Linked DNA regions of Coturnix japonica. The protein of the gene in region 3 purifies or fractionates together with the protein of the main gene of each other region. This does not show direct contact. Links are inferred from orthologs where the notes say so. Each region holds a gene or a part of one and is shown on either strand. Other genes may lie near its edges.

The links.
Region 1: the proteins of CEP97 (region 3) and SUGT1 purify together in Homo sapiens (affinity purification with mass spectrometry; 3 studies listed by BioGRID and IntAct, with this or other methods). This does not show direct contact. The link is inferred for Coturnix japonica from reciprocal best matches to the Homo sapiens genes CEP97 and SUGT1.
Region 2: the proteins of CEP97 (region 3) and CCP110 purify together in Homo sapiens (co-immunoprecipitation; 10 studies listed by BioGRID and IntAct, with this or other methods). This does not show direct contact. The link is inferred for Coturnix japonica from reciprocal best matches to the Homo sapiens genes CEP97 and CCP110.

The regions. Positions count from the first base shown.
Region 1 is NC_029516.1:148,374,596-148,378,095, reverse strand, and holds part of SUGT1 (protein SGT1 homolog), read left to right. Parts: intron 1-589; coding exon 590-606; intron 607-1,437; coding exon 1,438-1,472; intron 1,473-2,040; coding exon 2,041-2,137; intron 2,138-3,339; coding exon 3,340-3,447; intron 3,448-3,500. UniProt on the Homo sapiens protein: May play a role in ubiquitination and subsequent proteasomal degradation of target proteins.
Region 2 is NC_029529.1:8,227,008-8,230,507, forward strand, and holds part of CCP110 (centriolar coiled-coil protein of 110 kDa), read left to right. Parts: coding exon 1-347; intron 348-1,329; coding exon 1,330-1,454; intron 1,455-1,585; coding exon 1,586-1,760; intron 1,761-2,548; coding exon 2,549-2,688; intron 2,689-3,012; coding exon 3,013-3,129; intron 3,130-3,404; coding exon 3,405-3,500.
Region 3 is NC_029516.1:76,474,905-76,478,916, reverse strand, and holds the start of CEP97 (centrosomal protein of 97 kDa), read right to left. Parts: upstream 2,801-4,012; 5' UTR 2,715-2,800; coding exon 2,660-2,714; intron 2,557-2,659; exon of another isoform or gene 2,428-2,556; intron 2,179-2,427; coding exon 2,036-2,178; intron 1,294-2,035; coding exon 1,135-1,293; intron 657-1,134; coding exon 555-656; intron 52-554; coding exon 1-51. Other genes in the region: RPL24 (60S ribosomal protein L24), read left to right, coding at 3,026-3,030, 3,154-3,229, 3,886-3,996. UniProt on the Homo sapiens protein: Acts as a key negative regulator of ciliogenesis in collaboration with CCP110 by capping the mother centriole thereby preventing cilia formation. Required for recruitment of CCP110 to the centrosome.

The DNA of each region.
Region 1 (3,500 bases), about 72 Mb from region 3:
CAACACAAAATCCAAACATTTCTTGAACACTCCCATGGTCGGTGACTCCACCACCTCCATGGGCAGTGCATTCCAATGCCTGACTACCCTTTCCGAGAAGTAATACTTCCTAATGTCCAGCCTGAATCTCCCCTGGTGCAGCTTAAAACCATTCCCTCTAGTTCTATCTCTCAATATATATATGTTCTGTATAAGGGATGGTCAAGCTAGCACAGACTTGCAGGATGTGATTTCCATTTTAGTTTTTGCCACAGTCTTGATTTCATTAAACGAAGGTCTGTATCCTTTTCTTGTAAGGAAAGCAAAGCAATGCAAAGGTTGTTCTTGCTGTTAATGGGAGCATGTTTTATATTGTATCTTTGCACAAGTTGGTTGTTGAAGTTGATAGCACAAAGAAAGCCTAATTAAAAATAGAGTGTCACTAAGGCTGCAAATGAAAGGTAAAGCTGGTATGTTTTTAACTTTGTACCATTGAGACTGGCATGAATGCAGAATGTCTGGAGTCAGTGAAGAAAAGTGAAATAAAAGTCGTGTTGGGTTCACTTTTTTCTGACCATGCATCTCTTTTTGTCTCTTTTTTTCCCTGCAGGCTCACAGACAGAAGCGGTAAGGTGTTTTCCTTAATATTGTCTTGAATCATGTCTCAAACATGCTTGTAGAATTCAGTGCCTCCTTACAGCTTGAGGACTTAGGAATGACATTCAAGTCTGGAAATTACTGTGCGCTCATTCAGGTTTTAACTTGCAGTCTGTGGTACCAGACTCATATCAGCTCATCTTGTCAACTCACGGCCGCTCGAAGATGTTTTCTCTGGTGGCTCACATGTGGGTTTTGCAGACTTTTTTCAGCTGTAACTCAGACAAGTATATTTCCTTTTCTAATTGGAAATCTTCAAAAGAAATGTCAAAATTGACTTTTTGAAGCCAAAATACTCTTTGTGCCTTTTATATATATATATATATACTAAGATATACATATCTTAGTAATAGGATAGAGGGAGAAAATGTACAGAAAATAAGGTGGGTGTATATAAAGACATACGATTTGAAGGGTTTTTATGTTTTAAAACTCTGCTGTTCGTTCTCAGACCTATTTCAGGTTTCCTTTGTGACTCACAGATGAGCAACACGGCTGCTGTGTGTCTTTCAGGTGTTCTTCTTAGCCAGGAAGGAAAGAAATTAAAGCTGATCTAGTTGTTATCTTTCAAACGTGTGGCCTGTGTATTGTAAGAGACACTGAGCGTGTGCGTTGTCAGTCTGTAAATGGTAACTTTTAAAGTCTGTCACAAACGTAGAGTGAAGAATTTCTTCTTTCTTTCATAAGTTAATGCACATACAGAAGAAATGTGATCAGTATGAGAGTGATCTGTATCCTTGTTCTTATATATGTCAAATACACTGATGCAACTTTCTTTCCAATGCAATATGCTTCGTCTAGAATACACAACAGCAACCTCTGTCATCCAAGATCAAGTAAGTTGACTTCAGTATTGCTGTGAGAACTAAAATAACTGTCTCACCTGTTCTTTGCTGACCTGGGCATTGGAGATACAAGATAATGACTGTAAAAATTCTGTAGATTGCCACTTTGTGACGTTTCTGAGTGAGTTGTTCCTCAAACAGTGTCACTGACTTTGTTCTTGCTGGGTGGGTGTGGAATGGAGTAGACATTCTAGCTTCTGTTTTCTGGTTTATGAGCTTAATTCAAAGACTTGTTCATAGTGCCTAATGTAGGTAATGATTTTGGGATGCTTTTAAGATCCTGAAGTAAAAACGTGCTATTTAATTTATTGAAGGCAGGCTATAACATGAATTGGTTAAGGTGATCCAATTTTCATAAATTCATTGATTAATCATTTTTCTATTCAAATTTGTAACTGCTCTGTGGAAGGGTGCTGTTCTACCCCTTGCTTTGAACTATGCAATGCAGCGTTCCTGCTTTCATGTTGTGTGGGGGATTGTGGGTTGTGGTTGTTGGGTTTCTTTAGCTTGTTTTTAAACATCTCCTTAGAGGCAATTCTTTCTTCTTTTTTTTTTAAAGGTATGACTGGTACCAAACAGAATCTCAAGTAATTGTGACTATCATGATCAAGAATGCGCAGAAGGATGGTGTCAGAGTGCAGTTCTCAGAGAAAGAGGTGATTTATGCTATCGATAAGCATCTCTAGATTCCATGAGATGTAGTTCTACCAAATGATGCTCACTTCTATTAAAAGCATGAAGAAATGCTAGAAGCTGACTTCAGTTTGAGCATCTTTACATACAGTTATGCAGTAGCTACATGTATGCAGAATCAAGTGGATTAGTTGCTATTGCTACAGTGAGGTCTATAGGACTTACTCACAACATGCAGTGTGGCATACATGCAGCAGAGGGAGCATCTGCTTTTCAGCTGCTTAGTTGGAGGAAGTGATCTGAAGCTCAAGTGTTTGATTGTATCTCTGTCTGTTCATACTCCAGATGCATGAGAGGTACTCTCAATGTAGTTATAAATTAAGTTCTTTACTGGGAGAGTGGTTAGGTCCTGGAACAGGCTGCCCAGGGAGGTTGTGGATGCCCCATCCTTGGAGGGTGTTCAAGGCCAGGTTGGATGGGGCCCTGGGCAGCCTGGTCTAGTAAGTGTGGAAGTTTGGTGGCCCTGCCAGGCAGGGGGGTTGGAACTACATGATCCTTGAGGTCCCTTCCAACCTGGGCCATTCTGTGATTCTGTAAATAATTTTAGGATGGTAACAGAAAAACAATGTGTTGGTGGGTTCATATATATTGTATCTCTAAAACTGTCAGTTGTAGCAAAGCATACATTTCACGGAAGGGTGGTAATCTGTGTAGTGCCATACTCAGTACAGTGACATTTGTGCTTAATTAAGGGTAAACACTGAGGAGTTCAGTTCTTATTCTCAGCTAAGTTGGTGCTTGGTGAACTGCAAAGTACTGTGGTCTTTAATGTATGGCAAGTGCTCACACAGTTTTCACATTGCTTGCATGAATTAGAAGGGAAGTTGCAAATTGTTTTCGTGTTCCATTATTAATACGTTGCTGCTTCGTTTGCTATAATTCTTTCCTTAAAGAATGCAGATCAAGCTGACAGGATAATTGGCTTTTTAAGTACTTGCTGGCTAAAAAAGACATAGGAGATTTCAGTTCTGTAGTGTACTTTCAGACACCTTGTCGAATAACGCAGTAATGTAGTGCTGTTGTGTGGAATTTTGATGTGTGATGTTTTAAGTACCCTAGTAAAGGATCATTAATCACTTCGTCTTGATGTCAGATGACAATTCTTTACTCCAAAATGAATAACTGCTCTCAAAGATGACAGAAATGTGTTTTCAACTGTTAACAGATGAACGCATCAGTGAGGCTCCCCTCAGGTGAAGACTACAACCTAAAGCTTGATCTTCTTCATTCTATAGTGCCAGAGCAAAGTACGTTTAAAGTGCTTTCAACGAAGGTAAGCTCTTAATGTAAATTATTTATGCTTCTGCTCTAAGTCTCATTGCAAGA
Region 2 (3,500 bases), on a different chromosome or scaffold from region 3:
TGAGACCAAAGCATCCAGTTTGCAAGAAAATACTAAATCTCCAGTAGAACTCAATAAATCTTATGATGTAGAAAGCCCGTCCCCACTACTGATGCAGAGCAAGAGTATGCGCCAGCAGATGGATCCAAGTGTTCCCCCAGCAAACGAACAGATTCTAGAGAACAGCTTTGAAAAGGTAAAACGTAGACTTGATTTGGACACTGACAACTGCCAGAAAGACAGCAACCCCTGCGCTGTAACTGTTGGAATGGAGGAACAGGAGAAGCAATGGCTGCAAGAGCAGAAATGTCCCATGGCATCAGTTTACATTACCAAGAATGCAGCCCCTGATTCAAATATGGCAAAAGGTAAAAGATTTCCAGTGTTTGTTTTCTAAACTTCTCGGTTTAGAGAATCTTCTAGGGAAAAATGATTTTTTAAATATTCTAATCAATCTTATTAAAATTAATGCAGCTTTTAATATTATAATTTATTGTAAGATTAAAAATTATAATTGTTGGTGATTCTAAGTACATATCTATCAAAAGGCAGAAGTGTTATTCTGGCAGTTCTCTTTTTTTCAGTAATCTCATCTAATTTTTAATTAATGACCAATTCTGAATTTCAGCTGCTACCTGAGCTGTGCTTAATGGCTGCACAACGGGCTAGTTGCTCGTTTACAATTCACTCATGGAAAGAAGTCTTACAGCCCTCTGTAACAAATCCTTCATTAAATACTTTATGAAGAAGCATCAGATGAAACGTTTCTCAGTTTTGTGGATTCTCTGTTTATTCTCAGGGATATCACTTTAGGCAAAAACAAAAACCCAACACGTTCTCATTTGAATGTAGAAGTTTGAACTTAGTTTTACTAATATAATTTCTTGTTCTCTTAGATTTAAGTAAGACTACTAAAATGAATTAAAAGAGAACACCTTTCAGCAGCAAGGTTGCAAATGACTATATAGGTGCTTTTGTCATTTCAAGACTGTGTTACATTTGTGTCTTATCAAGTTAAACCAAAGTGACATTAATAATTTTAGTTTACTCAGCAAGTGTGGGTATTGTGTTCCCAGATCCAGATGTTTTACATCCTTATTCTAATACAGTCTCCATTGGTGTTACTGCTGTTCCATCCACATACTAATCCCACAAAGAGGAACGTGCAAATATTCTGAAGGACTGTTGTAACTGAAAGGCTTCTTTGCGATGCATAATGGCAACTTGATATAAAAAATGTGCTTTTTATTGAAGATGGAAATTTCTCTTTTGAAGCAAATATATCTGTGACAAAAGATCACATAGAAAATATTTAATGCTTCATTCTTTGTAATGCATGTGTCTTCTCAGAAGAGATTTTAAAGACTAAAATGTTGGCCTTTGAGGAAATGAGGAAGAGACTCGAAGAACAGCATGCACAACAGCTGTCAATTCTGATAGCAGAACAAGAGCGGGAGCAGGAGAAACTGCAGAAGGTAAAGCAGAAAGAGGAGAAAGTCTGAGCTGAAGTCCTGTGTGTTTGTCAGGATGCAGATGGTTTTGAAATATACATTTTGTTGTGTTGCAGACAGAAAACAAGTCTTACAGCTGATTTTTTCTTTCATAGGAACTGGAGGAACAGGAGAGGAAGGGAAAGAAGATCGCTACAACAGAAATAGAAATATCCAAAGTGAATATTAACAGTAGGATGGAGTTGGAGTGGAGAAAAAGTGAAAGCGGCTTAGTAGAAAGTGTGCAATCTCAGCTGGAGACAATCCATAATGCAAACTCTACAAGCATTGGTAAAAACTGACTGCTAAAATTAAACTGAGGGTCAGATACAGATTAAATGTGGTATATTTTGCTCTGCAGTATTGACTGTAGCAGCTGCCCTGTTGTGCTGGTAATGATGGTGCTGCAGTCATGGGTCACCTCTCACCTGTTCAATAAAATTCAAAATGTGTTGTTTTTTTTCCCATTGGCTCACCTAATTTTGAGTAGAAATGAATTAAATATTCAGATTGCTTCTTTCCTGCTGTTGACTTTGTACAAACAGCATTGCTCCCTCTGAGCAGAGTTCTCTCTTGCCTGTTTTAACTTCTATTCCTCATCAAGCACAAATGGAAAATTGGTGTTTTAGCAGGTGAGGAGCAGAGGATCTTTGAGAGTAAGACTGCTAAGCTATGTGGTTTTGATTATTTATGACTCATCTCTAGGGATCTACGTTGGCAGCATCAAACGCTTCAGAAGCACTTTCTTTGAGATGCTTTATGGATGAGATTTTTGTAGAGCAACTTTAATATTAAACAAGTGATTTTTTTTCATGCTGTAGGTGGGTATTTTTTCTCCCAGTACATAAGTACTATTGTATAAAATGTAAGAACTGGAATTCTCTCCATTTCTGAATGCGAGGTTGACTTCCTGACTGCAGCCTAAGTTAATGTGCTTGATTTTGTTTGTTTGTTTGCTTTTGTTATTTTGTAGAGAGCTCTTAAACAAGCGTAATGACCGTGTGTGTACTTGCACACATAGATTTTGAGCCATAAGGCAATAGCTGTATTATAAATTGCGTGTTCTGCTGTGTGTGCAGGTTTTGCTCATTCTACGTCACCCAACACCTTTACTTCAACAAGTGAAACTTCATTCTTCCTCTGGGGACCATCAGGCAGTGGAGTTATTAAAACCTCAGTGTCTAGGCCAAGTAACAGGATCAAAACCAGGTGGACCCAGGTATGGGAAAATAAGATATAGCTTAAAAAGACCTTCTGTTTTTGTAAGATTCTGGTAACTTTCTAGTAGCTGTGCAGTAGGAAATCTCACAGGAAAGTTCAGTGTCCCTTCCTATATCAACTTAGATTACATGGCAGAACTTTATAGTGTATTTTTCTTGTGGAAAAAGCAAAATATGTATTACTTCTTATCAGTAGTTGTTTCTTACTTCAAGACTTGAATCACGTGATGTAAGAAATATCAGCAACTTAATTAAAGATATTTATTAAATAGCTCTTCTGCTTTGTTTATTCAGTGGTTAGAAAATGCTTATTTTCTTTTAAGATTTTCACTCCAGAGATACAAATGAAGTTTGATAAGGTAACTGCTGTGGCAAAGGGGTTTCTTACGCGTCGGCTTCTACAGACAGAGAAGCTGAAACATCTCAAGCAGACTGTGAGAGTAAGATCCTCATTTTTACATTATGCAGCTTCTACTCCTGTTTTGGTTTTTCTTTTTTCTTCTCTTTTTGTCTCCTGTCATGAAATAATGTATCTTCTGCGTTGAGAAGAATTTAGGCATGTCTGTCCTGTGAACACATTTGAATGTTGCCCTGCTTACTGTTACAAGGCTTAAGTCAAACAAAGATGACCATCCTTATCCGTATAGTTTATGATGATTCATTGGTTGAAAAGGATCACACTTGGTGCTTCATCTTATTTCTCCCTCATCCCCAGGATACCATGGAATTCATAAGGAATTTTCAGTCTGAAGCTCCATTAAGAAGAGGAACTGTTTCAGCACAAGATGCGTCCCTTCATGAAAGAGTAATG
Region 3 (4,012 bases):
AACGGGGGCGGTACGAAGTGAAGTTATAATATTTCCATGCAGCAACAAGGTCTATAAAATAGAAATATGGTGATAAAGATGCATGTTTGAACAACAATGACAACAACAGAAGTTTACTAAAAACTATTTTCCAAAAGTATTCCAGGGAGGGAAAACTGAATTTTACATCTTAAAGCAAACTGTTACTATTAGGAAATACAGAACTGATGCTTAGCTGCATTCACAAGTATATTTGAAACATTATCTCTGTGTATGTGATAAAAAGACTTAACACTGTGCTTTCCCTTGATTCATAACCCACTAAGAGAAACAAGTGCTGTCTTACAGCATCACCTTAATCAAAATCACTAGCGACTGCAGAAGAATCACTGGCCCAGTTGGTGCAACTTGAAAGCAACAAAATACCCCTTTCATTCCTCCTTCTAAAAGTCACAGGGATTAATTAGAATGCTTTAAAATCTAGCATCTGAATAATTAATGTTTTAAAAGGTTACAATTTTCTAAACAAAAATGCTCAATGCAAAGAATATAAGAACAGACAAAAGTGCATCTACCTTCAGAGACGTAAGTTTTGAGAGATCTCCTAGCTGAGATATGTTGTTGTCTGACAGATCAAGGTGCTGAAGAGATGCACAGGAATTCATTTGCTCAATGGCCTATAAAAATAAAGGAGTCAATTTCAATATTTTTTTAGTCATTAAATCAAAAGAGGTGTCAATCATTGAAAACAACTTGGGAAGCTAACAGCACTGCATAACAAGGCCTACATTAAAATCATGTATTAAAAATTATTTTAATACCTGATATAACTACCTGATATCAGACACTTTAAAATTAAAGATAACTATTCTTTTCCTGTTTTGTTGGCTACCTCCCAGTTCTTATTACAAGTTGGTGTCAAGCCAAGATCTATTTTTCCCCAAGCCAATTCTTGTCCAAAAGTTGCCCTCTTTCATTTCATTACACTAGTGGACAGGAAGGTTTGACATTTATTCCCATTAAAACCAGAAACAAAAATTCAGTCTTCTATGCAGTAGAACAGAATGAAACATCGTAAAGATCATCTTCACTGTGTTTTCCAAGTTTCTACTATGGTAGATTCTGGAAAGATACATAAAACTCTATGTACTTTACCTTAAGATTATTTCCTGCCAAGTTGAGCCATTCCAGGTGTACCAACTCCTTCAGCCCTTCCACATACCCAATACTATTATGAGGCAAGTTTAGCACACGGAGCTGAGTCAGTTTTGCTACACCCATCATTCGTACCAAGCGATTGTTGGCTACAGACAACTGCAGATGGACACACAAGTTAAAGAAACAGATTCAATGATTAAACTCTACTGATAGTATAGGCTGTCTGTCAAGCTAAAAGTCCAATCCAACAGGAACTACTTCTTTGTAGATGTTCAATTTTTAAGCAAATACTACAGACCCAAAAAACTGCAAGTGACAAGAAATGAATAAATCATCAAAGAAAGTAGATTTCCACTAAGTCTGTAGAACTGTGAAGACTTTCTCATATCAACAGCTAATAAAGGAGGGGATTAAACGAGGAATTGCATCGTATGAAAATAAGCTTTTAAAATCAATATTGCCAAATCACTTTACAAACGTTTGCAACATTCCTGGTGTAAAACCATATTTTAACCCTCATGTACCATATATTTAACCCTCATGTACCTAAATGAAACGTTTCAAAGTTAAGTATATTAAAGCTAAGCACTAGCAACATCAGAGCCTACATAACTCAGTGTGTTAACAAGAACCATGCAATTGCTCAGGTTTAAAAGGACCTTAAAGATCATCAAGTCCAACCACAACCTACCCATAGTACCCTAACAACCCTCTGCTAAATCACATCCCTGAGCACCACATCCAAATGGCTTCTAAACACATTCAGAGATGGTGGCTCAACCACCACCTTGGGGAGCCTATTCCAGTGCTTAACTACCCTTTCTGTAAGGAAGTTCTTCCTGATATTCCTGATATCCAACCATTAGGTTCCAGCAAATACAACTCAAGTCCCACTGACCTGCATCAGATTCCTGCATTTCTCCAAATGTTCCAATTTAATTATCTGGTTTTTGTCCAGAATCAGAGTGTGAGTATCAGGATCACAGGGTAAGGTCGGACCCAGCTTCTGCAATCCTTGACCTGACCAGTTAACTACCAAACCTTAGAATAAGAAAAACATAAGACAGAAAGCAATCAGTTATTAGAAGATAATAGGTAATAGGTAATAGCCTGGTGCGGGTTGGAAGGGACCTTAAAGATCATCGAGTCCAACCCCCGGGATTCGAGCCTCTGTGTAGCAGAGCGGCACTTCTACCACTTGCGCCACAGGGGGGATTCGAACCCGGGGCTCGGTGTTGCAAGCGGCACTTGTACCACTGCGCCACCGGGGCACAGTGTAGATGTAGCTACCAGTCCCTGTTTAAATTCTGGCACCCGATTAAAGCGTTCCACCAGACACCAATATAAAGGGATGAGGAAATCACTCCTGACTGTCCGTGTACCCGGCGCCCATCCCGACTCCATCTCCCATCACACCCCACGCGCTGCCGTCTCTCGGCGCCGCACAACGGCGCCCCAACGAGCCTCCAGCCGCCGGCTCCATCCCGCCCCCCGCGCCGTGACCCCGCGGCGGTGCCCTCACCCCCCGCAGCCGACGAGCCGGGCTCGTTCCGCTCCTCCGCTCCGGTAGCTGCCATGCTTCTCTCCTACCGACGCCGCCAGGCAACCGGACGCTGGGCGCCGATTGGCTGCCTCGCCGCTCGCCGAGAAAATTCCCGTTGTTCCGAAGATTAATTGATCTCCCCGTACAGCGACCGCCCCCCGCAGCCAGCGAAACCCAACGGGACGCAGCGGCAGCCGGCAGAGGATCCCACACCGACCCCCGCTCTGCGGCCCGACCCTCCCGCCGGGTCCCGCAGGGGCGGAGCGCTCCCGGCACACCGCGCGCCGCCGGGGCCACGCCCCCTTCCGGCCGGCTCCCCTCCTCTTCGGCCCGCCCGCCGCCATCATGAAGTGAGTGGGGCTGCGGCCTTGGCTGCTCTATCCGCATCCATCCCCCGCGGGGAGGCCGAGCGATGGCTGAGGAACACTTGGCCGTCGGTCTGCGCCATCTGCTAACTTGTGTCTTTCTCGTAGGGTCGAGCTGTGCAGCTTCAGCGGGTACAAGATCTACCCGGGCCACGGCCGCCGCTACGCCCGCACGGATGGCAAGGTGAGGCCGGAGCAGCGGGGGGAGCGAGGCCGAGCCGAGTAGGGACCGGGTGCTGAGTGGATCGTTGGGATCTGGTTTCCTTATCTTAGAGATACGATGTTTGTGTCTATAAAGACACTCTGGTTCTTGTCGCTGGTACAGGCTGTGTGTGCCCCATCTTTGCAGGCATTCAAGGCCAGGCTGGATGGGCAGCCCGAGCTGCTGAGTGGCAGCTTTGCCCACAATAGAGGCTGGAACTGGCTTTGAGGTCCTTTCCAACCCAACCATCTTGCAAGTCTTTCTAGTTCCAGTGCTGTGGTCTTGCTGTGCAGCATGTCTTATGGCAGCTAAACAGCTGGACCGAGTGATTCTTGAGGTGATCTCCTTAGAAACTGAAGAATTTCAACCTGACTAGCTAGTAGCAAATCAGGCCCTTAATACTGCCTTCAGTTTCCTCTAGTCAAGAAGGTGTTGAGCAGTTCTAGTCTCTCAAGTGTTGCTTATATCCTCTCATGACCCACACGTACAGAAGGTGCTTACACGAGAGTGGGGTTGGTCTCTTCTCACTGGTGACAGGATAAACACTGAATCAAATAATTACTTGATATGCTGATATAAAGTGTGACAGTGTCATTCATAGAAACGAAGCTTACACAAATACTTTATTGCCTTCTCAGGTTTTCCAGTTCTTGAATGCAAAATGTGAGTCTGCATTCCTTTCCAAGAGAAACCCCCGTCAAATCAACTGGACTGTTCTGTACAGGCGTAAGCACAAGAAAGGACAGTCAGTAAGTATAAAGCAAT